2 linked regions of the Alligator mississippiensis genome follow. Each later gene encodes a partner of the first gene's protein in a complex. Links are inferred from orthologs where the notes say so. Each region holds a gene or a part of one and is shown on either strand. Other genes may lie near its edges. The genes, in order: SMC5 and NSMCE2.

Region 1 (14,581 bases):
GCCTCAGAACCCAGAAGCCCCTACACCTATCTCCTTGACAGCTGGCAGGCTTTGTGGCCTCATCAGGGACCACCATCCCTGCAGTTTTCACCTTCCTGGTGCCTTAACACACACACACACACACACAGAGTGTCACCCATGTCATGAGTTTTGCTTGTCAGCAGCTTGAGGTGCAGGTTCCCAGAAACCCCTGTACCTCTCTCCTTGAAACTTGGCAGGCTTCATGGTCTCAGCAGGGGCTAGCATGCCTGCAGTTTTCACCCCGCTGTGGCTTAACACGCACATGTGACACGAGTTTTGCTTTCAATACTTTGAGGTACAGTTTCACAGAAACCCCCGCACCTATCTCCTTGAAACATGGCAAGCTTTGTGCCCCCAGAAGGGGCTACCATACCTGCAAGTTTCATCCAAATCAGCCACAAAAATGATAAAGTTATAGGTATTTCATTGATTCCCCATTATACTCTATGGCTGAATCTCCGAATCTCTCTGAATCGGCACTGAATTTTCCGAAGCTGATTTGGCCAAATCAATTTGGAACAGCCATCTGAATCTCTGAATCAAATCACTGGCCTCTGAATTGGCCGAATCTGAATCGAATAGTTCCGTATTTACACAAGCCTAGAGTCTTTGAGCTTTCTTTAACTCTTTAGTGGCAATAGGCAGGAAAACTGCATAGGACTTCATCCACTGACAAGTATCTATCCTGTGATAGGGTAGGAAGTGGAATAAAGCTGCTCCATCAGCTTTACAGTGGGTGCATCTACACGTGCACTTTAATATGCAGTAGCATTAAGGCGGCACATAAAAATGTGCCAATACACTAATGTGCAGTACAGTAGGCTACTGTGCATTAAGGGTCACTAAAAAAATTGTTCACTTTCACTACTGTGCATTAGGGTAGCCTAATATGCCTTTATGTAGTACCTCACATTAGAGGTACTAAACTTAATGTGCAGTAGCAAAAGCGCATTAATGCACGTGTACACATGCCCAATATGTATAAACCCATCCCATCTATAGTAGGAGTTGGGGATAATTCCTAAACATTATGTACACTTTACATCTTTAGAGCAACTTAAAGAGACCACAAAGATTTGGGGACAATGCTTGTACTATGTTAGGTTAATCATCCACCTAAAAATCTCTTCAGAAGTTAGAGGGACAAATGTATAAAAAGAAACCCCTGTATGTCCCCAGCTCTGTGGACAATGCCATTGTAACTATGAAAATAGAACCTTCAGCAGCAAATACAGGATCCCAGATTTTCAGTGGATTGTTTGCTCTAGAAACAACTTCGTATTGTAGTAAAACCAAAGTTGTTCTGAAAGAACCTTTTTCATTGTCTCCCTTCTGTATAATAAATCAGCTTTATTTTGCTATCTATACAGTATTTTTATTAACTCTTCATTGCTCAATTTTATTACTTAAAATGGTGCCAAATTCCACTCTCAGTTACATCAGTGCAACTCCTGAATAAATAAAGATTTCCTGGTTTACACCAATGTAAGTGAAATCAAATCCTGACCCCTATGTTATTTTAGACCAAAATAAATTTTATGGGCTGATTCAACAACATGTAAATCCAATTTTACTTTCATGTAATTCCATGCAAATATCTCATGATTAGCACCCAAAAGTTTAGTACTTGTCACAGCCTGGAACACCACCCAGAACACACATCTTCCAGAGACGTAGTTTTGATGCTTTATTAGTGAATAATTTTATCTGTCTGATTTTGAATACACATAAAAGAATGGGCTCACCAGAACTGCAAGTGCTCTTTTTGTAAATTTAAAGGCTATACAATTTAAGAGCAACGCTGAAATAGGCATGAATTGCTCTTATGTTACCACCTACTACAAACCAGAAGCTCCTACTCCTCACATTCCTACCAAGCAAAAACAAAAATCTGCCCCTTGCTCCTTCACACAAACCCTACTATTATCTCCATTTTTGTGTGTAATTAATGTAACCATTTAACCTAGAGGTATATTTACCATTTTTTAAATTGTAGAACTTCCTTTACAGCAACTTTTACATTGTAATTTCATATGATTTCATAAGTTGGCCTCATGCTGGGAAGTATAATTAAAGTGGTAGAGAGACATCTCCATTCACTGAATGTAGAAACATTTACCACTCCCATTTATACTTATCTTTCTCCACACCCATCTCCATGCTCCATTTTTCTTTCCTTCCTTTCTCCTTTTTCCTATCTCTTTTTCTATTCTCTCCTTTTTGTTCTTAACTTTCTTTGAAATTTTCTCTCTCCCATTCTCATTCTCTTCCATGTACACCTCCATTGCCATTGCTCTTTCTCTCTTGCTTTCCCCATCTTTAGAATGTTCCATATTTCTGCCATATTAGCTTTCAGATCTTTACCTCATCCTTCATTCTTCTCTCATGCCTGCTCTTTTCTGGGGTATCGTATTTCTTTTTCATCTCTCATCCACAACAGTGGTTCCTCTTCTCTCAGTTCAGCTTATTCTTCCTCTCTACCCTACTCCAGCAACTGCCTCTTCCAAGACTTGGAGAAAGACGATTGTTTTCTCTGTCCCTATATACTAGCAGCCTAATATTAAACTGGCTGCTTAGTGTAGCTGTCTTATTTCCTTTGGCTGGAAGCCACACTAGCAGCTCAGTGGCGGTGTCAGCGCAAGCGTAACAAAAGGAAGTTGTGAATGTGCTAGTGACATTCTGGAGCCACAAAGCCTAAGTCATCGTTCCAGGCAGTCTCTGAGAGGAAAAATAGCCCTGAATGTTAGATTGGAAAACTCCACCACCATGAATTTGTTCTTCTAGGATCCCTTAACAAAAAGCAAAGAGATGCTGAATGAGCAATGAGTTGGAGCACTAATCCCAGAAGCTCTCATTGTGACAGACTATGGTTGTGCTGTAATATTTCTGGAAACCTGCAGGCAGAGCTCTATTAGTAGGGAATGGGACATCAAGAGATCAGTGGGCTGATTTGTTCATGAAGGCCCAGAGTAGCACCAGATAGATTTCAGCTTCAGCACCTGTAGAAGACTCGCTGCTGCTTCTGGTGCCAAGGGGGAACATGAAAGCATAAAACATCTTGAAAAACAGGGGTGCCTGAGATTTTTGGGGGAGCGAGAACATTCAGGGCTATTTTTCCTCTCAGAGACTGCCTGGAACGATGACTTAGGCTTTGTGGCTCCAGAATGCTGCCTTTTATATTGAGATTGACCAAAAAATGTTGTTTTGTATTCGGAAGAAGAGCTGTTTGCTTTGTTGCATATGACTTGGGCATGCTCTGTCTCATCAAAGAGGTAAAGTAATTTTCCAGAAGCTCATCCAAAAGGAGGCCATAGATGATCAGAGAGGTCAGGGACCAAAGGGCCAGGTCTCTGGGTCTGAGGAGTCAGGGGCTCCCACTCTAGAAGCTATGCTTGGGCTGGCTTCCAAGGGAGTCTGTGTAAGGCTCGGGGGGCAGGAGGATAGCGTTCCAAGCAAGTGCTACCCCTGACACCTATGTATTCGCTTCCATGCTACAGGCTCCCTTTGCAACAAAACTAACTAGAAAATGTACTTTTCTTTTTGTTTTGTTACAAAGTAAAGACAAGTCAGAGATTTAAAATGATACTTTAGGGGTTGCAGAAACCAGCATCTTTACTTGAAAGGCTTTGTCTGGTCCAAGCACTGACAATATTCTGTCCTACCCCAAGGAGTGCAAATATTTAGAGGATGCATATGTTTACATTAATGACTGTATATCCCATAGACCTTTGAAATAATTTCTCAGTGGTAAAATCATTTCCCTGTGGAAGAAGTGTTACATTCTGCTGCCATCTAGTGGAAAGGACAGGACCATCTTCAGTCTGAAATCAGTTCAGTAAACAATATTAAGCATGTCTTAGTCTGACACAATCATCTAAGCCTATCTTCTGTGTTCCTGCTGTTGCTACTTAAAATGTGTGATGACCTTCCCTACTGCAAATTCTTCTATTCTGGCCAGTGCCTGATATAAGTCTTTTAATTAAATTATCTGTTATCCGGTCTCAGAATGCAGTGTTTCAGTCTGAGTTTTGTCAGTGTCTTCTGGTAATACTGACATGCTATAGCTATTATCCATAACTTTTTCTAGGTATATTTATGGAGTCTAGGTCTAAATAAACACATTTTGGTGTAATCAGCCTATGATTTGGGGCTGTTTGCTACCTTTATCCTCAGCTTCCTTCATGGTGTTTGCTAGTCTCACTTGATGCTTTTTGTTGTAAATTAGACTATCAATTCCTAAATCCAGCTAGCCTCTGTGTCTGTGTAACATTTAGTTCAATGGGGCCTGGATCCTAATCTGGGTGGTACATCCATATAAATAACAAAATCTATTGATAATATCTGTGGCACTTATTATCTGAGATCCCTTCCAACCTTAATTTTCTGTGATTCTATAACTTATATGGGAGACACATGAAGGAGAAAATGAACCTAATAGGATGCAATCTTTTAAGGATACTCTTTAAAGAAGTTCAAATGTTCTGCATTTAAGAGAACAAATGAAATGACAACATACTAAAACGTGACAGGGTAAACTCAAAACACATTGAGAAGAACTTCCTTCTCATGTAGCATATCCTAATCCTGCAACAACATTAATCAAGCAAGACAGTTGAGGCAAAAACACTTGTGATTTTTTAAGAAAAAAAATTGGTGTCATTCTATGTCAATACAGCATAAAACAAGAGTGAACAACTGTCTCAATTTGTTATATATACAGATGGAAATCATGCTCCGATAATGTTTAGTTCCCAATTTACATGAATAGTTTGAACTTTTAACAGTCTTTTTTGTGTTACTGTCTTGTTGACAACAGGCTTATTGCACTATATTTACAACTTCTACAGCTAACCAAATGACACCTGATGTTGACTATTAAAAACTAACATACTGATTGAGACTTGCCTGACTGAGCAAATTAATTAATTTTAGCATGTTTCCCTGTGGAATCAGTTGGTCATTTCCTTTATGTTTAAAGTCAGCTGTTAAAAAGTCAGGAAAATCTTTGGAGATAAGGCAGTAAGGATAATCTAAATTCCATTTCCATCCAAATTTGGCATCATGAACAGGTCTGAAGATGTGCTGCTACTGTAGCTCTCTGCATTGATCCAGCGTGTGTTATGTCAAGGGGAGAGACAGACAAAGCATGATGATAAGGTCCGTGACGCTCCTCCCTGAGGAGTTTTGCGGGCTGTGGCATTCAGCACTGAATTGAGGCAGTGGAGCTGAGCTGCAAGGGCACATTTCATGGCAGCTCCAGTAGCAAGTAAGAACCTGCTCCAAACTTGTATCTGGAGATGACTCCTTTCCTTCTGTAAATAGGAGACAGGTTACACAAGGTGGGAGGCTCAAAAGAAGTTTGAGGTGATGATTACTGTGTCGCTCCTTCCTCTGTTTTGGCTATAGCTGCCAGCACCCTCCAAGCTTGCTCAATGAGGGCAGACCTTTGGCTTTGTTCTCATGTCATTCAGCACCATGCAAACCGCAAGGCAAGGCAAGGCAAGGCTGGTGACTCTGAGGCAAACGTTACTGCAGAGTAACTCGACTTTACGACAGCATGGAAGTGGAAGGACACAGGAACACAGGAAAGCAGGGCTGGCAGAGACTTCACCAGGCCATCAAATCTGGCCCCAGGCTCAAGGCAGCACCACCTCTAAACCATCCCAGCCCAGTATCTGTGCAGCCGGCTCCTGAACATTTCTAGGGATGGAGATTGCACAGCTCCTTTAGGCAGCCTGTGCCAGTGCCTGCCTGACTAGCCTAGGGGCCTTGCCATGGGTTCAAATGAAAGCTGGATAAGAACCAGCCATCAAGTTATTACACATGTTCAAGCACTACCTCCCAGCCCTGTAATGGAAGAGACAGTTTTATGGCAGGATACTGCAAGTGCAGCCCTGCTCAGTCTACTGTGCAATCGCACTATGCCTGCAACCTGCGAGAGCCGCAGAGACAGAAAGCTCCTCCCCCACCCCCAGTCGGGGGCAGCCTGAGGCCTTGGCCTAGTCCTGCCCGAGGTCACGTGTCTGCACGACCCAAACCACAGGGCCAAGCGCGGGCTGTTTGTGCCCGGGGGACTACATCTCCTAGAATGCGCCGCGCCCGCCCGCAGCGCATGCTGGGAGGGCGCCCCACGAGCCGCGGTGCAAGCTAGGAAGTGTAGTCCTGACAGCCCCATGACGCGAGCTCCCCCTCACGCAAACGTAACGCGAGGTAGCCAGTGAGAGGAAACCAAACCGGGCACCACCCACCCGGCCCCGCCCCCTCTCCCTCTGAAGGAGGAACCGCCCCTGCCCAGCCGCAGCCAATGGCGAGTGCAATAAGGCGTCACGTGCCGGGCAGAACGCGCGGCCATAATCTCGAGCCTAGCGAAACTGAAAGTAACGGGCGGACCCGGCCTTCCCCCGCCTCTCTCAGCCAATGAGGCTTCTCGTTACATCGCCTCTCGCTCTCCTTCAGCCAATAGGCTCGGGCGTCGCTCTCTGTTAGCGTTTCCTTCCCCTCCCCCCCACGTCACTCCCCCCCCTCACCTTTTCCCCTCCCCGCCGGCATTTCCGCACCCTGATTAGCCAATGGGCCTCGCGCTTCACCGAGCGCTGTGACGTCTCCCCCTCTCCCCGCCAATGGGCGCCTGGGCGCCGGGAGCGCTGAGCCGGCCGCTTAGTCTCTACACGGCGCGCGGCAGCAGTTCGGGGGGGTGGGGAGAGTAGGAATACAGCCGGCACCAAGATGGCGACCCCGGCCAAGCGCAGAGCTGGGAGCAGCGTCGGGCGGGGCGCGGGCGCCGCTGGCCCGGGGGAGGCGAAGCCGCCGTCCGCGTTCGTGGACGGCTCCATCGTGCGAGTCGCCATGGAGAACTTCCTGTGAGCGCGGGGCGCGGGGATGACGTCAGCGTGTGGCGGCGGGCAGTGGAGGGTGTGACGTCAGCGTGTGGCGGGGGGGGGGGAGAGAAGCAGTGAGGGAACCTCCCCCTGCCCCCACGAGGTCTCTAGCTGTGCTGCCCCTCCCCCCCCAGCCCGCCCAGTAGGGCTGTGAGTCCCCTTTGGTGGTTGCTTGAGACACCCAAAAGACAAAACCGGCTGGGAGCGAGGGCACGGAGCGCCAGGACAAGTGCACCGAGGGGCAACACGGAGCACAGCATGCTGGGCACTGCCTGCTGGGCTGGGGATAGGCAGCAGATGCTCAGGAAGCAGCAGACCCTGCTCAGTGAAACCAGCAGCCTTGCTAGGTCTTCAATTGCAGAAATTATTGTCTTGGAAGCTCAAAATGATCATATTTGCTGAAAAACAATCGTAGGCTGAAAAAAGGAGGCAAATAAGTTTTTTTCTTCTTGACTTTATATTGCGCACTGTAATCACCAGTGGGTGAGTGAGAACCGGGTCCTCAAAGTTGAAGCGTTTCTTTATTTCGAGGCCATTGGTCATAAGAAAGCACTGACCACAAACTTCAAAGTCAGTTAGGCCTCCCTGAGAGTGACTTGGGTTTTGCCTGTGCTGCATCAATGAGCGACCTCAAAAATGATCATACATTTTGAAAGCTTTTGCTCTTATTGATCATATGTTGTACAAGGGTTGAAATTATCATACAAATGCGATAATTATTGTAAACCTGGGAACACTGAGTGCAACTGTCTGGAGGTGTGAATGGGCCATAGATGGATAAAGGTCTTGCAGCCCTCAGGGGAGGCAGGGTGTCCTCCCAGCCAGAGCCTCTGTCTTGGTTGGGTAGATCGCTAGCATGGCTGGGCCAATGAGGAGTTTGACCAAGCCTGTTTGTTATTCCATTGGGTGAGGAAGCTTGGTAGCTTGGCTAGATTCAGGAAGAGGTTGACTTAGAGGTCCTGGGACTAGGGGGGACCTAGTTTATTGGTCTAGGACTGGGACTCTGTGAGGCCTAGTACATTCAATCACATGGGACTAGTTCATTTTTGTAAATGAACAGGTGCAGGGAGTAATGCAACCCTAAACTCAGCAGGCGGTGAAGGGGCTGCAGCCTGGCACGTTCTAGGTAGGCACGTGCCAGGATCTCCCTCTGTTCATGGGGCAGGTTTTGGGGGAGTCTGTAAACTGTTCTAGATGGCCATCCATGGTGACAGCTCTCTGGAGGAGCTGCCAGCTGAGGTCTCCTGATGGCTTGTGGGATTGAGGTGGAGTACACGCTCATCCACCAGGGACCCTCATCTTCACCAAGGATGTCCTGTCACTGTGTCCAGGGGGGATGTAAGGATAGGGATGATGGAGGGTGCAGACCCTGAGCGTGTACAGCTGGTGGTGATGGGCTGTCCAGAAGTGGACTGGCGTATCCCACAGCCTGCTACAGAGAATCCAGCAGTATGGTGGAGAGTACCATGGGGTCTGCCAAGGCAGGGGCCCCATGCCAGCTCTGGGGAGTGGAGACTGTCCTTATGCAGGACCTGGTTCTGTGTGATGCAAGACAGGAGCCCGGGCAAGATGGACCTATGGTCTGACCCAGTAAATGGCAGTTCTTATGTCCCCAAGGGCTTTTCTCTGAGGATCATGCCCCTGCATATGTGGGGATGGGGATTCCCCTCCTCCCCCCACCTTTGTAGTCTCTCACAGCTATGATTGCAAGAATGGACAGATGGAGTGTAACCAATGCCCTGGTGTCGCTTAGCCTGGAGTCATCCTGGGAAACAGCAGTGCTGGGTAGTGCAAGCTGTTCACTGCAGGGAGCTATGGGAGGAGGTGTAACCGCAAGACATGGATTTTCTGGGCGAAACCATTTAATGGCATTCTAATGGCATTGTCAAAAAAACTGCTTTGACATAGGGATGGCCCAGAGTGTTAGATTCAGTCATGAAAATGGAAGAGCCTTGTGGTTTTATATATGTTGGAGTTGCAGTTAAGTACGCTCAATTATGTAAAACTTTGTTCATACACATTAGAAGGAGGGAGTCTGATTGAAGTGTGCCTTCTGAGAACAGCCTGCTCTCCCCTTTCTGCACCTCTGGTAATCTTGTTACTCCCAGTACTTTACTTCTAATGGCAGCCTAAAAATGATGGGATCTGGTCAGCGTCAGGTCTTCTAATGGCACAGCAGTTGATGGACTAAAGAAGGATTTGCTGTCTATCAGTGTGTCTGGCAACTTTCTGGTTGGCAACTGAGCATGCTGTGTCTGGCTTAAATACAAAATCTGAGGAGTTTAGTCTAAATTAAGTTATTGTAGGATAGAAAGCTATTGTAGGTAGCTGCACTTGTGTGCCATGGAATCAGAAACCTTTGCAGAACTTAATATACAGCACAGCAGGCTGTGTCTGAACTTTGAATATAGGCAATGCTCATTAGGATCTGTGATGCAGAAGATGGCTTGTGTCAAATATGACACACTTCAACACAACTTTAGGTGCTTTTGTTTATCAGTTTTGTCAAAATTCTGCTTGCCCTTTTTCCCTGAATGAAAAAAACAAACTAATAAGGGTGAAATCCATGCTCCATCAAAGTAAATGGCAGCTTTGCAATTGCCATACCTAGAGCAAATTTTTCAAATTGGCATACCTCTCAAATTTTTCATTTTCTGCAGTCCTTATGGAAAAGGATAGACGATCACTACAGCTTGATGGCTTTTCTTATGCTGCATCAGATGATGTGGAATTAATTCTTTTTATGATGCAAATTTTTATACAAAGCAATATTTGGGGAAGCACTTAAATCTCATCTGTAGTATTGTAGATGTATTGTTGTGTTGTGCTGTGCTTGCCTTAGACCACTTTGATGTTACTTTGCATGTATTTGTTTTGTTTAAAATTCTCACTTTTTTTTCTAGTATACCTTGCTTTATATTTTATAATGAAGACTAACGTGAAATCATGGTGTCTTTCAGAACATATGATAATTGTGAAGTGTATCCAGGACCTCACTTGAACATGATAGTGGGTGCTAATGGAACAGGAAAATCAAGCATTGTTTGTGCCATCTGTCTGGGATTGGCCGGAAAACCTTCTTTCATAGGGCGAGCAGACAAGGTCAGTACAAATTTCTGTCTTCCAGGTACTTAACTGAGGAAATCACTGAAGGCCCTGTCCAGCAGGAAGCAGCCATAATCCCTGTACTTTTGTGAACTCCATTTGAAGGTGCATAATAGCTCCTCAGCAAATAGGGCCAAGTCTCCACTTAAGAGAGCTTTGATTGCAGAAGTTAGTGAGACTGAGTGCATTGATGCTAACAGCATCTGTGACAACAGAGCCCTTCTTTCTGCCAGCAGAGCAACACCTGCTCAACTGAAAGATGGTTGCTGCAGTAGACTGGGCTCTCTAACCTGTTGGCACAGCTCTTGTAGTTGAGCAGGACCTGGACAGAGCTGCCAAAAGCCGTGCAGTATGAATGTGGTCTGTTAATTTCTCTGTGACAACTACTGTCTGCTGCCAGTACTGGAAACAGAGAGAGCCTCTGTAGGACAATACCTAAGTCTGCTGCACTGAAAAAGCTCTCCATGAAAAACACAGCTCTGCTTTAGGTTTGCCAAGGAGTGACTTAGCAAGACAAGATAAATAGAGAGAATTTGCATTCAGTCTGAAAGTATTTAATTCATGTTGGGACACTCAGATATCCTAAGTAACATAACTTAATGAAAACTCTAGGGCTGGGGAAATGCATGTTCTTTTCCTCTTGTTTCCTGGATAGGGAGTTTTGGGAGGCTGAAGTGTTCTTCTTAAACCTCAGTAGGTTATTTAAGTGGCCTTTGCATGTTCATGTTTATAGACTGCAACAATGACCTCTGACAAACACTGCAGGGCCCACTGTCACCAGTGCATCCCATAAATGTGAACATGTAGAGTCCATTGGGAAGATTTCTGTTTTTTCTCTGTTACTTTGTCACAAGAAATGTATTATTATCTGTGTAGTAGTATAAAATAAATGTCTTGATTAGACAATGGGGTTTTAAAATTGTTTTGACATTTTGAGATTTTTCTGAAAATTCAAGAGTGAATTTGGTGGCCATCTAGAAGTGGTTGTGTCCATTAACTGGTCACTTAGTGACTTAATCATTCTCCTGCCTGGACAAGCAAATATTTTCAAAATAGATGGGTTTGATGGGGCCAGCTGTCAGGTTTCTCACCTTTTTTATTTAGGTATTGTGTATACTGCTAGAAAATAAAAATGAATATGGCTTTATCTGAAACTCATTTTGCTAAATGAGTTTCAAATTATGATTCAAGTATCAACCTTCAGGTAGGGCATGAGTTTTGGAGCAGTCAGTGAATTATAGCAGACTGTTCACTAAATCGCCCTATTCTCTCTTCCGTGAAGAAACTGAAGTCCTGGTCTATTATTACTGTCTAATGGGCTTTCAGTATTGGCCATGCACTGTCTGTATAGTAAGTGCATGTTTGAGAACTGTGTGTAAAGTAGCATAGATTGGTATTGATTATGTGGTGAAATATTCAAAAGCTGTTATGAGTTTTCTGGGAAATTTGACTTTAGAGATGTCTTTGATTTTCAGGTATTAAATTCTGTAGCTCTTTCTTTGCAGGTTGGTTTCTTCGTAAAGCGAGGCTGCTGTAAAGGCACAGTTGAAATTGAACTGTAAGTACTAAAACCACCTTTCAGTTTTCATTTGTTTCTGCATCACAAAATAGATCTGCAAGAAGTCTAGTATAGTGATGTCTCCTGGTTCAAGTAGTTCTGACTCATTTTGAAGTTGATAATATTAATTGGCTTTCACGTGATTATAATTGACCAGCTAATAACCTGTCATATTTGCCATAATCTCAAAATGGGGCTCTTGGCACACAGAAAAAGAAAAGGAGTGAATGTGAAAATACTGTTCCTTGATTTAATTTGTTTTAGCTTTTTATGTATTCAACTTTCATATAATGCTGTTGCAGTTTTGATTAAGTGAACGCATAGAATGCTGTATGTAGTTGTACCTTAATTGCTTAAATTGTTTTTATGTAATACAGAGCTCTTTCTTAGCTTGAAGTTATTTGTTAAGATTGCAACATGACTTCATAACATTGGGTATTATGGGCAGTGTTGGGTCCTGCAGCAAAGAATTGTGTGTCAAACAAAAGGGAAAGAAAATGGACAGAAAGGTAGTTCCAAGGACATGCTATCTTTTATGTATGTAAACTGTCTCTTGGGTCCCTGTTGCATGTTTAAATTAAAACTGGATAGAAATGAGCTACAGAGCTACACATTTTCACGCTTTATTCTTGGTAGCTGGTTGGCTCTTTTTATAGCTCTAATCATTTTTTATGGTGTGGTAATTACTTTGCATGGGAGGCTGGTCTAATTTTATTGTGTGATTAATGAGTTAATTGCATAATATATGTAACATATAGCAGTGGCCTAACAGAGAAAATATTTGGCCATGAATTAGTGAGAGGTACTGAATAAGAGTGTTTTGAAATCCAGCATAAGAAACTATATTGAGAGCTGACTAGAACAGTATTGTCTGGATAGCAAAGACAGTCTTGTTTCCAGAATAAAGAGGTGAAGAAGTGACAACTGAGTCACCTTGGTGATGTGTGAAAGTTATTCAGCGAAAAACCTTGGGTATTGATAAAGAAATTTGGGCTAGGAAAATGTCTGGTAATACAGGGACAACTAATTGTAGTGTTAGAAGCAGAAAGAAAGAAAGAAGATGCAATGACTGCTTCCTTAGGATGATGATTTATACTTTTTGGATAGAAAGAAACTAATTATTTGAAGGGACTGTTTGATTTCCACTCTTTCAGGAGATAGGGGTGGAGCCAAGGATTATTATAATCCTAATAATGGGACCCTCATCTAATTGCAAGGTAGTATAAGAGGACCATAGTTAAGTGTTACCAGAAAGAAAGTGGTGATGGATTTGCAATAGACTTGTTTGTCAACACTAGTCAACTTTATTTGTCAGCAGCAGTTCTGAGTTCATTTGCCTGCATAATGCTGTACTAAGCAATATGTTAGAGGAGTAATTTTAGGGGCAGATTTTAATTCCCATGTGAATGTGTTTATGGGTCTCTTGCTTTCTTTTTATTTGCCTTTTCTAGTGTGTTTGTGGGTTTATATAGTCTAGCTAGTCATTTGAACAGTACAATGCACTCATAGAGATTCTTCATATATCAAACATATGGACATTTAAAAACAGTAGCAATATGTGAACAGTACCTTGCAGAGGGATTTTAGCCAAAGCAGAAAGGCCTGCAGAAGGAAACTACTTGAAACATAATATTTCATAAATCACTTTTATATAGAACACGTGAAAGGCAGGACTTAGGACTTGGAACATCTCACCTGTTGGCCAGGAAGTAAGGCAAATATGTGAGAACTGAGATGACATGCTTACACTGCAGCAGATTGGATAAAAAAGAATTTAATTTTTGAGTATGTTTAAAGTAGTAACTTTGTTAAAAGATGTATTTTCCACTTCACTTTTAAATTGATGAAGTGGATACATTTATTTATTTATGTTTGTTCTTCTAATTGTTACTAGAATTTAGAAACTTAATAATAATAAATATTGCACACAAGCTTTCCAATACTTGTACTCTACAGTTGTAGGGCTTCATTAATACGTGTAAGGTGGCACCAGCACAAAACTCATAAGTAATAGTTCGTATAGTAATTGCAATCAGCACTGACTTCTGGTATGTCAAAACTGTTGGAATGCTTTGACCAAGCTATATTTCTCCACCAGTATTTGATGTCCATAGGACTTACACTCAAAAGTTGTATCAAATGCTTATGAACATGCCATCATTTGTTGCCTGAATATGGTTTTGTAGCCTAATTTTAAGGTTCTATTTTTGATGTGTATGTACTTAAAGCTGTTTTTTAAAAAAAGATCTAGAAGCAGTAAGGCAGCATAGGTAAATTAAGTCTGTTTACATTCCTTATTTGGAAAATTTGGCAAGAGAATGATGGCATGCAGAGGCAAATAATTTACTATCTGGAGAGATCCAAACTGAACTGAATGTCATGTTTGATCAGTAGAAAAATTTCAAGATGGAAAATATGGAATGAGAAAGTGATTACATCTGTGACTGCTTGTGTAAATTCTCATGTTTGCAATTAATGTTACATTCTTAAATATAACTTGCTGATTTCCATTAATCTTGTATTAAATATTAAGGGCAGTTACTCATTTGCCATTCACTAAAAGGCTATAAGATTTCTGATTGTAATGTAAGAGACTAAAACATGCAAGTAGTTTCGTCAGGTATGAAATGCTTAAACTAGTAAATACTTAACAGTTTTTCTATTCATCAGATTTAAACCTCCTGATAATCTTGTTATCACACGTGAGATTCATGTGGCAAACAATTCATCAACATGGTTGATCAATAAAAAGCCTTCTTCCTTGAAAACAGTAGAGGAGCAAATTGCAGCCTTAAATATCCAAGTGGGCAATCTGTGCCAGTTCCTCCCTCAGGTAAGAAGGAATTTTATTTTTAAGGTATTATATACAAATGGAGGCCTATACTTAGGTTTTTTTAGCTTCTAAAAGTACTTCAGTAGAAAAGACAGAAAGAGTTGTGGGATAGAGAGAAAGCTATTTTAGTGTTACTGTGATGAATCCATTTTAAATATTTGTGAGTGCAGTACGCCTAATGTTTTA
Region 2 (15,420 bases), about 180 Mb from region 1:
TAATTCATCAATCTTCAAACATTAAGGAAGAGCACTTATGGATGGGAAACATTTTGTAACAGATCTTTGTTATCTCTTAATTCTTCCTTCAATTTAAAAGTTTTAAGCCTTTGCTTACTCTTTAAATGATTTAAGATAAACATCTAAAAAAATCTGGTGCTACTTAAAAATGGCAGGCATCTAAATGCTAACATCAAAGGTATAATTTCCTAGTCAACCCCACCTGGAGAAGGCGCAAGGAGTGGGACTTTGGGCAGCTGGTCTGCTCCCCTCCTGGACCTGTCCAGGAAGCAAGGGAGCAGCAGCCACTGCTTCCCCTCCTTTTCCCCCCAGAGTGGTTCCTTGTTTTGGAAAATGGTGGGAGGCTTTGCCAGCTCCTGCTGGCTTCCACTTGCCACTGCACCACCCAACTGGGCAGCAGGGCAGTGATTTAAAAGCCCGCAGGGCTGGGAAGCAGGCTCTTGGAAAGTCTCTCCAAGCCTGGTCCCCAGTCCTGCCAGATTTCCCTTGCTGCACCCACCACTCAAGCTGTGGGGTGGCAAGAAGCCAGCAGGGTCAGGTTCCGGGCTTGAGGAGGTTCTCCCTGGGGTCACAGGACAAAGCACCCACCCACTCCTCACACTGGAACTGAAGGTGTGTGGAGCGGACAGGGGCTTGGCTATGGGGGTCTGTTCAGCTCCCAGACTCAGGCTGGCGGTGGCTCCAGGCTCTTCCCGGTGCTCTGCCCGTCTCCACCCCAGCCCCAGCTACAGCTGCCGGCACCAGCTGCCTGCACCAGGGCATGGTGCAGCTCAGCGGCTACAGGGAGCTGGCGTTGGCCGCTCCCAGAACAGAGAAAGAGGGATAGAAATGGTTACTACACATCTGGCTGCCTTTGACTGCCCCCACCTCCCCTGCTTAAATGACCAGGTACTCATTTCAAACTGGGTGTACTGGGAACAACCTTGCTATTGACTCATGCCTCTTGATTAACAGCAAGGCACCGCACCACATAGTAACCCACCTGGTTATAAATGTCATCTGATCTCAAGCGGCCTATAACCATGCTGATGAATGTTTCACTTATAGGTACCCTACTGAAGTAGCTTTCAGGGTAATTTGGAGGTCTTTTGGCCCCAGATTGGCTTGAATACCCAGTGCTTCGGAGCAGTTTACATATATCGTCCATATTGGAATCAGCAGAGGATCGAGCAGCACTAAGTTATAAAAGCAAAAAAACAAATGTTGTTACGTGAACTGACTCACTTAAGAGACAAAATTCTTACTGGTTTTTAGAAGTTATTTTTTCCTGCAGACAAAAGAATAATTTTTACCACATCACGGGAGGGCAGTTATAGATGTATGGTTGTACTTGGAATTCCAACTAAGAGTATCAAAGGAGACAATGAACCTTATTTATAGGTCACACAAGATGGAAACATTATACTTAGAAAATGAATCTAACTCCTTCCCTCCCTCCATTTCCTCCTCCCCCAAATTTTCTTTTTTGCCCCATCTGCACATTCTGGAGAGGTGACATGGAAATCTGTCCATTTATATCCGAAGTCAACCAGAAGTACCAATACATGTGCATGTATTCAAGTACTGTCCCTATTGTCTCTTTTAGTGAATTTATTATGGGTAAAAAGCTTTAGACCAGAGGTGTCAAACATAAGAGCTCATGGACTGGATGCAGCTCGTGCAACTGGCCCATCCAGCCTGCTGGTAGTCCGACAGCCTACTGGAGGTTTCAGGGCAGGGCTAGTGGGACGTGACCTGCTACACAATTTGAAGTCCCTGGGCCCTGATGGACATGGCCATCGGTGGGAGGCCCTTGTTTGCTCTGCCACTGCCTCCAAACCTGCGCTGCTGCCCAAACCTAGACTTACAGATCCAGCCCAGAAGTCCCCCCCACCATGGTTCGGATTGGCTCAGAGCACAGGGTTTTAGCAGGACACCACTGGTGTAGACTGTTAACCTTGGAGGTTTTTGCTTGGTTTAATCTAATGTTGCCAGCCTTACTCAGAAATCCATTTATTGATTGTGTTATTCAAGAGTGCTTTGCAACTCAATAAGGTATAGCATGGGGGAGAAATTTGTGATCTAGAAACTAAGACAACCTCACAAAGCTCCAAAAGTGCCTTTGGAAATCTCTGATGACAGAGTGACAGTACTGAAGGTCCATGAGGAATCTATTGATAAATTATTTCAAGTCCTTAAGTCACTAAATGAAGGCATCTGTGGCACTGAATTTGCAAATGGATCTAAGCAGCCACACCCCGATATATGCAAGGAGATCACTGACCTCCACAGGCTCTACATCAGTGGCAGGCGAAGTCCAGTCTTTGAGCCAGGTCGGGCCCATGGCGGACTCCGTTTCCCAGCAGCCTCTGCCCACATTCCAACCAGTTTCCATAGAGACCTCAGGAGACAGCGTGGGGTTAAGGTGTCCATGCTGTGAGCCCTACCAGTGCTGCTCAGGCCAGTCTCCATGGTGGGGAGCTGCTCTGGGGCTGGAGCCGAGATTTTGCGGCAGTAACAACATGGTTCAGAGCCGGGGCAGAGCCGTGATCTGCTGCCTGCTTGGTCTTGCCTGGGGCATGTAGGCAATAGAACATGATTCTGCCCTGGCTCTGGACCATGCTGTCACTGCAACAAAATCTTGACCCTGGTCCCAGCCCCAGAGCAGCTTCCCACCTAGCCACGAGCTCTGCCAGGACTGCTTAGGCCAATCTCCATGGAAACCCTGTTGTCATCCCCCCCCCCCCCCCATGGCCCGCCACTCCTGGGGTCTCCATGGAAACTGCCCGGAGCAACATGAGCAGGGGCTGCTAGGAAATGGAGTGGATCTACTGGTTGGATCCACCATTTTGCCCACCCCTGCTTTACATGATCAAGGGAAAGAGCCTACCCAGTTCTAGGACCGAAGCCAATATTTCTACATGCTACATTAAATTTATGCACCTATAAAACAATTAAGCGTAATATGCTGTTTGCTGTATTCTAGCTGTAGAAGCCACATTACGGCACTTCTAAAGTACAATACCTGTATCTATAGTAGGAAACCAACATCCTTTCTCTGACCTCCCCTTCAATTTTCTGGTCGATAACCAGCAACATGACTCCATACAAATAGAGCGCTTCACACTGTTGAGAAATGCTATAAATTAACAAATTATGCCATCTAATAACAACATGCCTTTACTTTTGAAGCAAATTAATCTTTAGACATTACATAGACAGTAATACCCTATGTTTGCTTGCTGAGTTGCATTAGCCTTATTCTTAGATTGACAAATTATGTTTCCAAGCCAGTTAAAACTATTGGCTTCATAAAACTGGCCATTTGTCTTGTGCAACCTGTGGGAAGACGACAGCTATTCAGTAAGATGGTCAGCTCATTTAATAGGAGTCGCCTACTGTCAATGACTTTTGGATTTCTAATGACCTGGATGTAATTCGAACCACGATTGAGTGAAAGTGAAGTTCTCTTTATTCCCTTGGCCAGTCCCATAAAAGTTTCTCACAAAGGAGAGCCACAGATCTTCATCACATTTGTGAAATTAAAAATTTATTTTTGTCTATACCTAATGCTAAATTTAGAAAAGCCGGATGCCAAATTTGCTGATAACTAAATGACTTCATTTATAATACTGATTACTAACTCTTGATTACTTACTAGAAGCTGCTTCCCATCTTCATTAAGGAGCACAGTTTCCAGTGTTTGCTGAATATAAATTCCTTCATTGAGATCATCCAAATATCTAGAAATGTTAACAAAAGGTCAGTCATGGTTTAGTAAGAGTCCTCTCTCTGCTTCTTAAGCCAGGTACCTTCACAATTCAGTCAGACAATTTCCCCTGAAGGTCAACAGAAATTGGTCCCTGCCACTCCTAAAGCTTATTGTTAATATTTCCCATGTTATGGAAAAGTCTGCCTGGAACAGGTTCAATAAGCACAAGTTACTTGAGAGCAAGGAAAAGCTGGCATTAGAGGCCTGAGGCCACTAGGTGCCAAACCTCTTGGAACACATACTGGCCCAATTAACATCTCTGTGGGATTTGAAAATAGTCAGTATCCTGCAAACCTGGGTCTCACATTCTAGTGAAAAGAGAACACGGAGTTTTCAAGTTATCCACTTAGCTCTGTGTGGATGGATGTAACCTAAAGAAGAAAAAGCCTAGGATCCAGTCATAGACTATGAAGCAACACTGGGATATTATGCACAAGGTTAAACAGTACTTTATTACCAGAATCTAGAAGACACTTTGAGATTCTGACAACATGAATAGAGATTACCTTACAGATACCAGATACTATGGAAATCTCTAACGTATTTCTATTCCGTTTTGCTGGGATAGAGTGGGAAGTGAAGTATCTTCACATTGATTGTTAAGAGGTTTTTACTATTCCAGCTAGTTTAGGATTTTTGGATTAGATCAGCAAAACCCAAAACTCTTATTGACTTTATAGACATGATAGCGCATCTTCCTTATAGAATGGTGTGAGCTGTTTTCAGCAGAGACCATGGGATAAGGCAAATTCTTTGGAAAAAAATATTTGAGACTGTTATGATATTGCTTTCTTCAAACAGAGATGCAAAAGGTAACAAAGGGTTATCTGAATATCTTTCATTCTCTTGCAAGACTTTTTGTGAATGTGCATAAGACATAACTCACATGCAAAGAAACTGAGGAACAGAGTTAATTAACTCTCCAAGATTACAGAGTAAGACATTAACGGCAGGATTAAAACTTGGATAAAACCCCCTCCTTTTTAAATGTCTACCTGAGTGTTTTCTACTACTACCCACTACCACAGCAGGGTTTTCTACACAAAAATCAACATCAGAAGCAGTTGCTAGTTGGCTTTGGGGAATCTCTGACACTTGACTAGACTATGTTGTTAAGTGTATACATATATAATTTAGCAGAGGGGTATCCCAAAAAAGAAAACACAGAACACAAGACTAAGATCATATGGTTACTGGTGTCATTATGTTAATAAACCCTGTTACATGTACCTGTTTAAATCTACAATGTATTTATGGACGCTTTGAAATGCCAGATAAAATCTTGTTAATATTTCTATGTTGTTTTCACGGAACTCTTCATCTAAATCCAGTAGCTCAGCTCTGGCCTCCAACTTGCCTTCACAGATTTCAGGCCCCTAAGAAGAACAGGACATTTATTTTAAAAGAGTAAAAAAGAAAGTAATTGTGACAGTTTGCCACAGGACATAATGGATGAATTATCAATTATTATTTCTTTCTTGTGCTCTGTGAAAGATCCACACAGAAGGAGACAGTGACAGACAGACTATACAACTGAAGCCATGAAACTGCATAAAGTCCTGCCAAATGCACCAAGTGCCCAAACTGAAACAATTTATTTTTATCTCTTTTGGTTATAGTAATTTCAGGAATTATTTGTATAAGGGGGGTTTCAGGCAGAAGCAGAATTTCTAAATCGCTGATATGTTTTGAATCTATTTGTTCTTCTGCTTCCCATAGGCACTGAAGAGAATGAGATCAGAGACTGGATTAAAATTCAGGAACTCCGAATCTCATTTATTGCTCAGAGCCCACTCCTCTTTCTACAAGGAGAACTGCATGATAAGGAACCTCTTTTATTGTATGCTTCTTGGAAATAGAAAGGCAAATCAGTTCATCATGAGAAGTCCCATACAAATTGTTCTCCAGAATAGCAGAGTTAAGTGGGTACTGCCAGAGGCTCAACTCAAGAAGGAATCTCACAGCTCCTCTGTGGAAAGTAGTCATATCTGTGCTGGTTAATGTACCATATGTCAACCGACTGAGTGAAAGTATAACAAACATTTTTTTTATCATAACAGAAACACAGCAGTGTTCACAGCAGTACAAGATACAGAATACAGCTAAAGACCGCCAGAAATACTACAGGAGGCCCACAATACTATATTAAGGGTCACACCCAAGTTGATAGACTTTGCTGGTCCTGATGAAAGTGAGATTTTATGTATTGAACTATCCTAAATAATGAGAATGAATGTTCCAAAATAAGAACTTATTTCAGTAATGAAAGATCTATCACTTTGAAATGGTATCTGGTGTGATTACTAATGTAAATCAATCTTGCTTTCCTCTAAATCCTCCATTCAAGTGCTCTGATAGGATCAGCATTAACACTCAAGCTCTTCAAGCACAAAAATCTTGATTGCCACATTCAGACTCACAGAAATAAGGCATGGAAAATGTGTGATAAGAAATGTATGGATTTAGTTTACTCAAGAAGTAAAGAACTAACACATAGGCATTTCCATGTCACAGTCTATGGATGAATTTGTGGTCAAGGTCAAAATATGTATAAAATACATTTTATTGTATTCTAAATTTTGGTGGTAATGACTAAAATCAATTAAGTGTGCCGATTTTTACAAAGATATGCTCTATATTGCCAAACAGAAATTTTGTTCCAGAAAGAAAATGGCAGTCTAGAGCTAAAACAATAGGAAAATGCTTACCTTAAAATAACTGAAATCGAATATGATATCGCCATACTTCTGTTGATCAGCCTTGTCTTTTAGCCTAAACACACCAGGAATAAACTCAGATAGTCTCAAAAGTTCTGCAATGATGGCATTCCCACAGGAAACAATCCTAAGAATTGCCTGGCCACAGAGATTATTTTCAGCTAGAAAATCAACCATCTTGGAGACTATGGTGAAAGGATAGCAAAATTACTGCAATCCGTCTGCAAGCTTCAGCCTTTAAGTCATTTAGACAAAAAATCGTCGCTGGAAAATTGGTTGCTCCATTAAGAGTACCTGCAAAAAGGAAAACAGAACAAAAAACACAGAACCATGTTCAGTATATTTCATATTCATATTTTTGATGACTGGATTCAACTGGAAAAGCTACTGTATTAGAACTCTGTGTCCTCCAGAATCTCAGAGTAGATGGCTTATAAATAAAACACGATGTAGTCTATTTTCAGTGTGTACAAAACACTTAGCTAGCATCATCAGCTTATGAGAAACAGCTGCACAACTTCCAATACCAAAAGATTTTAGAACAACTGCTAAAGGACAAAATAGTCTCAGACGCTTATAAAGTTGAGTCTATCTATTCCGAACACCATTACAAAGTTGGTACTGTACAAGATGAGTTTAGAAACTGTAAAGGATGAGCATAGAAACTATTTTCATAGTGCACCATGACAGTTCGTCAATGTGGTTAAACACTTGGAGTGTATGGAAACTGAATGCAGTTCAGGGCCCTTTGTTTATTACCAAACCAGTATCTGTTTATCCCAAACTTCCGTATTATAGATAAGGTAACATGTCAGTAATCTCTCTTCAAATCAGAAATCTTATTTTACCCAGTAAAACAAAAAAAAGCATGACACAATCTCTTTCCATCATAGTTGACAGAGATGATTTACTGTACAACCCTTATTAACACGCTGGGTAACCACAATTATTCTATAGTACAGATAAATTAGCTGAGCCACAGGGAGGTTATACGACTTGTCTGAGATCTCACAGCAAATCTATGGCAGAGCTGGAAACAAAAACCAGCTCTCTGGAAACCTAATCTGCAATTGTTGCTAGAATTTTAAATAAATTATAGAGCAGAACGTCTGCTCAAATAACATTTTTTTGGCATTATTTCAGGAATAACAAATCAAAATGCAGAAGGAAGAACAAAATTACACCTTAAAGAGATGCATAAGCCTTCATAAGCAACAGCTCACTTTTTCAGATGCTACACAGCATATTTGAATAGCTATTCTATATGGTACAAGTCTACCTTGTGTTCTGCCTGACTTCAGACTAACATGACTAAGTACTTTGCCAAAATAAAAATACAGGCATTACCAAATTCAGCCCTAACTCATTTGTTTTCCCTTCATTTGTCTCTCAGCTCAGTCAATGGGAAATACACAAAGTCACTTCCACTTTTCTTTCTTTCCAGAAAGTCAGCTGTGGGAGTGGTAGTCTGAAGTCAGGCAGAAGGCAGAGCAGGGTGGCACCTTTAAGACTAACTGGCTGGAGAAACTTGAGCTTTTCACAGAATCATAGAAAATTAGGGTTGGCAGGGACCTCAGGAGGTCATCTAGTCCAGGGGTTTTCAAGCCCCAGGCCATGACCCGGTGCTGGGCCGCAAAGGGTTGGATGCTGGTATGCAGGAGGGCTGGCCCATCCTATCTTGCGGCAGTGGCTGCTGCGTTTGAGGTTTGCTCCCTCCCTCCCGCCCGCTGGGTGCAAGTGTCTTTACGGTTGTTCCGGTTAGAAGTTCTTGCCGTGGGGCCCTGCACGGTGTCACTGGAAGTGACTGCGGACTGGAAGTGACCGGCATGTGGCGGATTCAGCATAAAAAAGGGTTGGCTGCCGGTCTGCGGCGACTTCCAGTCCGCAGTTTGCCAGTCCTCAATCTAAAAAGTTTGGGACCCTTGACCCAACCCTCTGTTCAAAGCAGGACCATCCAACTATATCATCCCAACCAAGGCTTTGTCAAGCCAGGTCTTAAAAACCTCCAAGGGTGGAAAGTCCAGCATGTCTCTGGGTAACCTGTTCCAGTGCCGTACTACCTTTCCGGCACGAAAGTTTTTCCTTATATCTAACCTAAACTGCCCTTGCTGCAACTTGAGACCATTGCTCCTTGTTCTGTCATCTGCCATCACCGAGAACAGTTTAGCTTGGGGTGGGCAATTATTTGGACCCACAGGCCGCATAGGCAGTTTTGAGGAGCTGTTGGAGGCTGGTCAGCACCCACCCCCAACAGCTCACCAAAGCCAGAGTCCATGGGCCCTGCAGTTCCTCCCTGCCACTGCCACCACCAACAGTGTCTGCTAGCTGCTAAGCACAGTCCTGGCCCCAGCCCACCCCACGCCTGCTCTGAACTCACCCTGGCTGGAGCGGACCTGCTCCAAACCAGCCAGAAACCAAGCGCACAGCCCCGTTCCCGGCCCCGTCCCAGCCAGAGCGGACCAGCTCCAGGCCAGCTCACAAATGTGCACAGCCCCGGCCCACCCCACACCTGCTCCAGACCGGCCCACCTATGATGGACAGCAGCATCCCCGCAGAAGCGGCTACTGAGGATGGGGGAAAAGCAGCCGCCCCCCACTCTCTGCTGCCGGGACCGTCTTGCTGCGGCCGCCTGGACCCACACCTGGTGCCCAGCACCAGGCCGCCACTGCTGCTCTTCGTGGGCGGGCGGGCAGGCGAGCTGGAGCTGCACGCATGGGTCCTGGCTGGTCTGCTCCGGCCGGCGCAGGTGCACAGAGGGTGCGGGGTGGGCTGGGGTCGGGGCTGCGCACACTGGTCCCTGCCCGTCTCCCTGCGGCTGGTGGCAGTAACCAGAAGGAGCCACGCCAGCCACACTGCACGCCCCGGGGTGGCGGGACACGCGCCACGGGCCCAACAGCACCAAAGTCCCTCCACATCCAGCCTGCGTTTTGCCCGCCGCCGGTCTCACTCCATCCAGGGTTGTATTTTCAGTCAGTTCCTAAAATGTTTCTTCCGAGTTCACAGTTGGCACAGACCACGCCTGCTCCAGTTTGCACGGGCAGGTCCCAATTCACAAGCCCCGCTGCCCGGCCCCGTGAAAGGGGCAAGAGGCCTGGGACACGCGCCTTTTCGGGCGACAGCCTGTTCGGGGAGGCGCTTCACACACACGCGTGTCTCAGTCAGAAGACCTTCCCCGCCCGCCCGCCCGCCACATGCCCGGTCCCCCCCCAGGGAGCAGCGACCCCCAGGGCAGCTCGTCCTGGGGCAGCCCAATTTGGGGCCAAGACCTTTCCTCGCCCGCCCCGGTGTAGCCCCGCCCCCACCAACCGCCGTGCCCTGACCCCCCAACCGCCTCCAACCGTCACCCGTCCCGCACTCACCGCTCGCAGCGGCCTCCGCGGCCGGGCCGAGCCGGGCCGGGCCTCCCGTCACGTGAGCGGTGTCACGTGAGCGGACGAGGCGGGGCCTGCCGGCGCGGGCGCGGGCCTGGGCCGGGCCGCAGGTGGGTGCTGGGGGAGGGAAGGGAAGGGAAGGGAAGGGAGGGTCGTAGCCCCTTCCCCAGCCCCCGCCACTGCCCCCCGGCCAGGCCCCGCAGGCAACAGTTGAGGGCCTTCGTGGCACCCCGGGGTGCGTTGGGCTCCCCCTCAGTGGTGCAGACGGGGCTGCCAGGGCGGGTGTCCCACAGGACTCTGGCACCCGAGGCAGAAAAGCAGCTCTGTTATTTTTTTCGCAGGCACAAAAGAGGCAAAGCTGAGAGGCTTCGTTGTCGTCATCGTCATCTGAGGGGACTCGCGTCTGGAGCGGTGAGCGCCGCCGCGCCTTTGGGTGGGAGCGTCCCCTCGGAGTTCAGTGCCGCCTCGAAGATGTCGCGCGGAGCCCTTGGCGGCTCTGGACTCCCGCGGGAAACTCCCGCTCACCTCCGTGGAGCGCGAGGGTCTGCGGTTGCCGGTCGCTTCTGCGGAGCGTGAGCTGCCGGGTGAAGTGGGGCGGCCTGGCTTCGTGTGGGGATGGCCGCCCTGCGCCGCCTGAGTGGCGTGTGACAGGTTGGGCAGGGAGCAGAAAGCGGAGCAGTAGGTCAGACGGGGGGAGGGGAGTGGTACTTGGGGAGACCACAGAGCTAATTTGAGGCCTGCCTAGCAGAGTGGTTGGCCCCCGCTGATTTATTGTGAGAAAAGTCCTTTGTTATTTTAAACCATGAAGCCGGTGATGGGTTAAGCTGCAGCCCCCCCAGGCTCCCACCCTGTCACCGTTCCCTGCACAGCTCCTGGCTCTGGGCTTCCTGTCGCCCTCTGGCTTTTGCAGCCTGCACATCCCAGGGGGCAGGCGGTGCAGCTGGCAGTCAGTGTAGCAGGGAGCCCGCAGCGGGGTGCACAATCCGTGGGGGAGCTGCCCACACACATGGTGTAGCAAGGTGGGGATTACTTACTTGTGCAGTACAGTTTGGGGGTCCTCCTGCTGTGGCCCATGTGGTGTATGGCTGCTTGTGGCACATGTGTTTAAGAAAAAGTTTGTGCTTTGCAGAAGCTCTGGGCAGCTGTCGGAAAGTTTCTACCCAAAGGGAGCGTGCGGGACTCTTCCAGCTGAGTTCAGAGCTGGCTAAGGGGTCCTCACATGGCTCCTTAAAACCTAAAGCCTAAATTTTCCTTCCAAACAAGCCAGCATTAAGCAGATGCAGTGCTTTCTTTCTGCCTGCCAGTGAGTCACAACCCCACTGCCTTTGCTCTGAGTAAAGGCAGTGCTCACAAGCTTCAGCAGAGTAAAAGTGACCAAAATCTTGACAGTTGCCTTGCAGTCTTCCAGTGTCCTGGTTTTCTGAGTGGGCAGCAGTGAAACTGAAAACAATCAGGTCAATTCCGTTTTCATGAAACTGAAAAGCAGGAGCAGACCCGGGTTATTTACTAGGGAGGAACACCTGAAAATGAAATGAAATATGTTATGCGCATGGCAGCAGCAGATGAACAGTAGAGTAGGTGCTTATAAGAATGAATGGAACACCTTAGGCTACAGAAAAGGGATTTGTTTTTTAAGAGGTGGGGAAACACTTTCTAATAGCAAAGGTGATTTAAGCAATAGAATAATTTTTCAAGGGAGAAAATTGATGCAGTGTCCCTAGAAGTGTGTAGAGTATCACAACAGAGGCATACTTGTGAGCTGGTCTTCAAATTCTCTCTCTGTGTCATGTAAATCTTGTCTGAAGACCTTGTTTCTCAGTAGATGAGAAGGATGGATGGGAGGGGGGAGAGAGAGAGAATAAAGAATATATTTATCCTTTGTCATTAAAACAAACAAGCAGAGAAATGACTTAAGTCATGTTTAGAAACAGCTTTCCAAGCAAAGTGGCTGCTGAGACGTGAATAAAAACCCAGTGCTTTATGTGAAGAAGCAGCGTGTTAGTTCAATCTGGCTCTGTAGCACCTGTATGGATTGTGCACTTCAGCAGGGCTTTTCGGCACTTTTATCTAACAGCTAGAAGGATTCAATCAGCTAGTAGATAAAAGCACCAGAAAAAAACCCACCAGAGTGCCCAATTTATACAGACATTGGGCAATCTGGGGCAAACTAATGCAATGCCTCTTCTGAGCATGTGCTGTGCTCAGTGCAGGGGCGCTGTGAATTTGAAGTGCTGTTTTGGGGGGTCTTTTTGTTTTTTACATCTGTAAGCAGGCAGTGATGATTGGGGGAAAAGTACTTGAATCCCTTCAAGATTGAGCTGGAAAACTTTATGGATGGTTGACATAATAGGATAGGGAGTTGTGACTCAATCAGTTGGTGTGACTTGTGTTTGCAGTGCCCATGTTGAAATGCCTCTTTTTGCAGTGTGGCAGGTGCATTTCGTGGGTTTTGCTAATTGCCAGTTCAGCCAGGAAAGTTCTCACCCCCCATTCTCCTTGTAAATGCTCTTGGCTTCATTTTTGTTTTCCTTGCATTTATCTGAACACTGGAACGTTGGCTACAGCTGAGGTGCGGGTTTGAGTCAGGTGCACTGATGCTTCTGTTGTTATTTAAAAAAAGCCACAGAGTTTTATTCTTTTGCTCAGATGTATATTGATCTCCTAATTTAGACTCAGAAAGCAGTTTTTCCCTTAGGTCAGATTGGGACAGAGTGTGTTCATGCATCTCTATGCATATATGTGTGTGGTGTGCCTTCTGTAGCTTAGAGCTTGATTCCAAGGATCCTCTCAGCCTACATTAACTAATCACTTTTATATCTTTGTGGCAAGGTCTGGGGAGAACCCTAGTCTCCTCTGCTTTTACTTACAATAGGTTATAGGGTATTCTTAGCATTGCACATATTGTACCCTGTAGTTGATCTGAGGGTTTAAAGTAGCTTTTTAATAGAATTATTGCCTGCAAAAGCAGGGAACTGGACTCAGTAACCCAGGAAGTCTCCTTGATCTTCAGAGACAGGTGTTTTTTTTTAAAGGAACTCTTCCCGCCTCTGGTTTGACAGTCTTTTAGATTATATTGAATATAGTATTAACTACTCTTCTTAGGGGAAAAGAGAAGCTTAAGTTGTGCTGGACTGAATCTGTTGGAGTCTGAGCCTGCTTCTTTAAAGATGAGCAAGACATAAGCAAAAAGGGAAAGAGTAGAGCAGCAAAGATAGCTAGCACCAGAAAGTGCATTTTGCCTTACTTGCAGTTTTGCTGCTAGTAACTGACAGACACAGCTTATGGTTTATCAGCCACTTGAGGGCTAGGCAAATTTGTATGAGTACCAAGCTATTTGGTACTCATAGACTGCTTTTAGTTGTCTCTGGTTTTGAGGTCACAACAGTGTTTCAGAGAGACAGTTTTGGCTGGCAAGGCCATACTTACTAAAAAGAAGACAAAAAAAAAAGGAAAGGGTACACAGCATTGTGCCTAGCAGCAGGAAAGCAAGTCACAGTCCTGAAAGATTGTAGAGTCCTTGGTCTGGTCCCTGGCTTGCTCTCTCCAGGACACCTCAGAGTGAGGGCGATAAAGGTCCAGTCTTGGTGAACTTGCATCCTTGAGTCCCAGCAGATGGGGAGGTAGCATGACAATAAAGCTCAATTCTTATGGTCTATATGTCCTGCTGGCATCAGTGTCAAATTCTGGAGTGCCAAAAAGTGGGGGCTGTGTAGAATCGAGGGCTGGCAGATTGAGGCCCCCACAATGAGACAGGGAATGGGGTAGGAGCTGGGGCAGGGTCAGAGGTAGGCATTGCCCAGCTGAGGTGGGACAGTGCACAGGGGGCATGGAGGCAGGCGGCTCCGTTCCGCGCTTGCCCGTGCCTCTGCCCCGGTCCCACTCCTTCCTTCGCTGTGGGACCTTGATCTGCACCCTCCATGCTCCTTCCCCCACAGACTTACTGGTCCTGCTCTCCAAGCTGCCAGGCTGCATATCGGCAGTTGGATCCTTATCGGCTGATATGGCTGATTAATAATTGGCCATTGGTATTGGCCAAAGAAAACTTTGCAGTGCATCCCTAAATTTAATGCAACAGGCTTGGTCTTTACTTTGGTCTTCTTAAAAATATAGGACTCTTCGCCACAGATCTATGCTTCACTCCCTGTGGTCAGAGCATAGTGAAATGAGAGCTGGTATTGAGGGTGGCTATTGATTAATGGTGAGCAATTGAACAAAACTGTAGGATCAAGCTATCCCATTACAGGTGGGAAGTTGCATCTTGTGTGGCAAAAAGCATACCAACAGAGAGAAGGCAGTAGGCCAGAGCTGGACTATAGTAAGTATAGCAATGGGAATTGAGATGTTCATCGGGTAGCAAAAAAGACAAATGTTATTCATGTGCCCCAATGACCTAGTGGCACCAAGCATTACTGAATGACTCCTTTGCTGAGAGGGAGAGAGAGAGAGATCTGTCTTATTTCTTTCTTTTTTTTTTTCTTCAGTGAAGGGATTAGGTAATTTGGTTTTTAAATATATTCTTAAGACTATTGTCCTTTGTTTTCTGGTCTCTATGAGTGAAAACTAGGTTTTTTCAGGGAACTTCTTTTTTGTCAAAATAGCCCTTGTAATCTGGAAGTGTATTGCTTGACTTGAGTTCAGTAGCTTGCTTATTAATGTGAAAACCACAGGCTGCTTTCTGCAGTGGAGAGGTGTTCAGCATTGTGTGATAGGAAGTTTGAATCCCTCTGGTTAAATTATGGTTCCACTAGTGACTGAACTCCTGCTGACTACAGTGGAGCCAGGATTTAACCCTTACTAACACAGGATTAGATTGTGGGGACTCTTCATTAGATGTTTGTGCTTTTATTTCTTTTGCTAAATGTTTTGTTTCTGAATTCTCTTTTTTGCTATTTCCATCCAGAGTAATTATTTCAAGATGCCTGGGGGTTCAGTGATCTCATTCAATGCTGTGGATTCTTCTCTGTCATCTTTAAAAAACTGCCAGTCATACATAAACACCGGCATGGATATTGCTAGTAACGTTGCTTTTGACCTTGTGGAAAATCTCAGTAAGTATTTGGTTTGAGTACATTGTCTTGCTTATTACCACCTTTGAACTGTACAGACAGTCTTAAGCACACATACATAGGCCTGGGAACAATAAAAATCCATCTTTATTATAAGAACAGCAGCTTTTCTTCTAGCTACTTTGGAGACTTGCCATTTAAATCATTTCCCTGTCTTAAACAATAACTTAAATGGAATATAACTCCCAAATAGACATGCTCTAGCTTTTTTTTAAGTCCAGAAAACTAATTACTTTTTGCTGTTCGCTATTCTGCAGCCTTTTAGAAGTTTTAGCTGTAAAGGAAGACGACTTGTGCAAACCCCTCTGAGTAGATGAATAGCCTGACTGACTCTAACACTACGTTTTTATCCCTATGTGTTTTAAAATGTCCTAAGCTGTTTTCAAAAGTGACTATTGATTATTTGGGGTGCGCAGCTTGAGATCTGTCGTAAGAGACTAGATTTTTATAAAATATTCAACCCATCTTGTGATATCATGCTTCTGAAAGATGTA

The links.
Region 2: SMC5 (region 1) and NSMCE2 share a complex: the UniProt entries of both Homo sapiens proteins name them as parts of the SMC5-SMC6 complex. The link is inferred for Alligator mississippiensis from reciprocal best matches to the Homo sapiens genes SMC5 and NSMCE2.

What each region holds. Positions count from the first base shown.
Region 1 is NC_081826.1:194,265,538-194,280,118, forward strand, and holds the start of SMC5 (structural maintenance of chromosomes protein 5), read left to right. Parts: upstream 1-6,598; 5' UTR 6,599-6,747; coding exon 6,748-6,881; intron 6,882-9,859; coding exon 9,860-10,001; intron 10,002-11,509; coding exon 11,510-11,562; intron 11,563-14,232; coding exon 14,233-14,395; intron 14,396-14,581. UniProt on the Homo sapiens protein: Core component of the SMC5-SMC6 complex, a complex involved in repair of DNA double-strand breaks by homologous recombination.
Region 2 is NC_081826.1:19,247,359-19,262,778, reverse strand, and holds the start of NSMCE2 (E3 SUMO-protein ligase NSE2), read left to right. Parts: upstream 1-9,911; 5' UTR 9,912-9,970; intron 9,971-9,997; exon of another isoform or gene 9,998-10,095; intron 10,096-10,201; 5' UTR 10,202-10,271; intron 10,272-10,329; exon of another isoform or gene 10,330-10,538; intron 10,539-14,760; 5' UTR 14,761-14,775; coding exon 14,776-14,908; intron 14,909-15,420. Other genes in the region: WASHC5 (WASH complex subunit 5), read right to left, coding at 1,004-1,196, 3,026-3,126, 3,659-3,743, 5,003-5,148, 6,481-6,666. UniProt on the Homo sapiens protein: E3 SUMO-protein ligase component of the SMC5-SMC6 complex, a complex involved in DNA double-strand break repair by homologous recombination. Is not be required for the stability of the complex.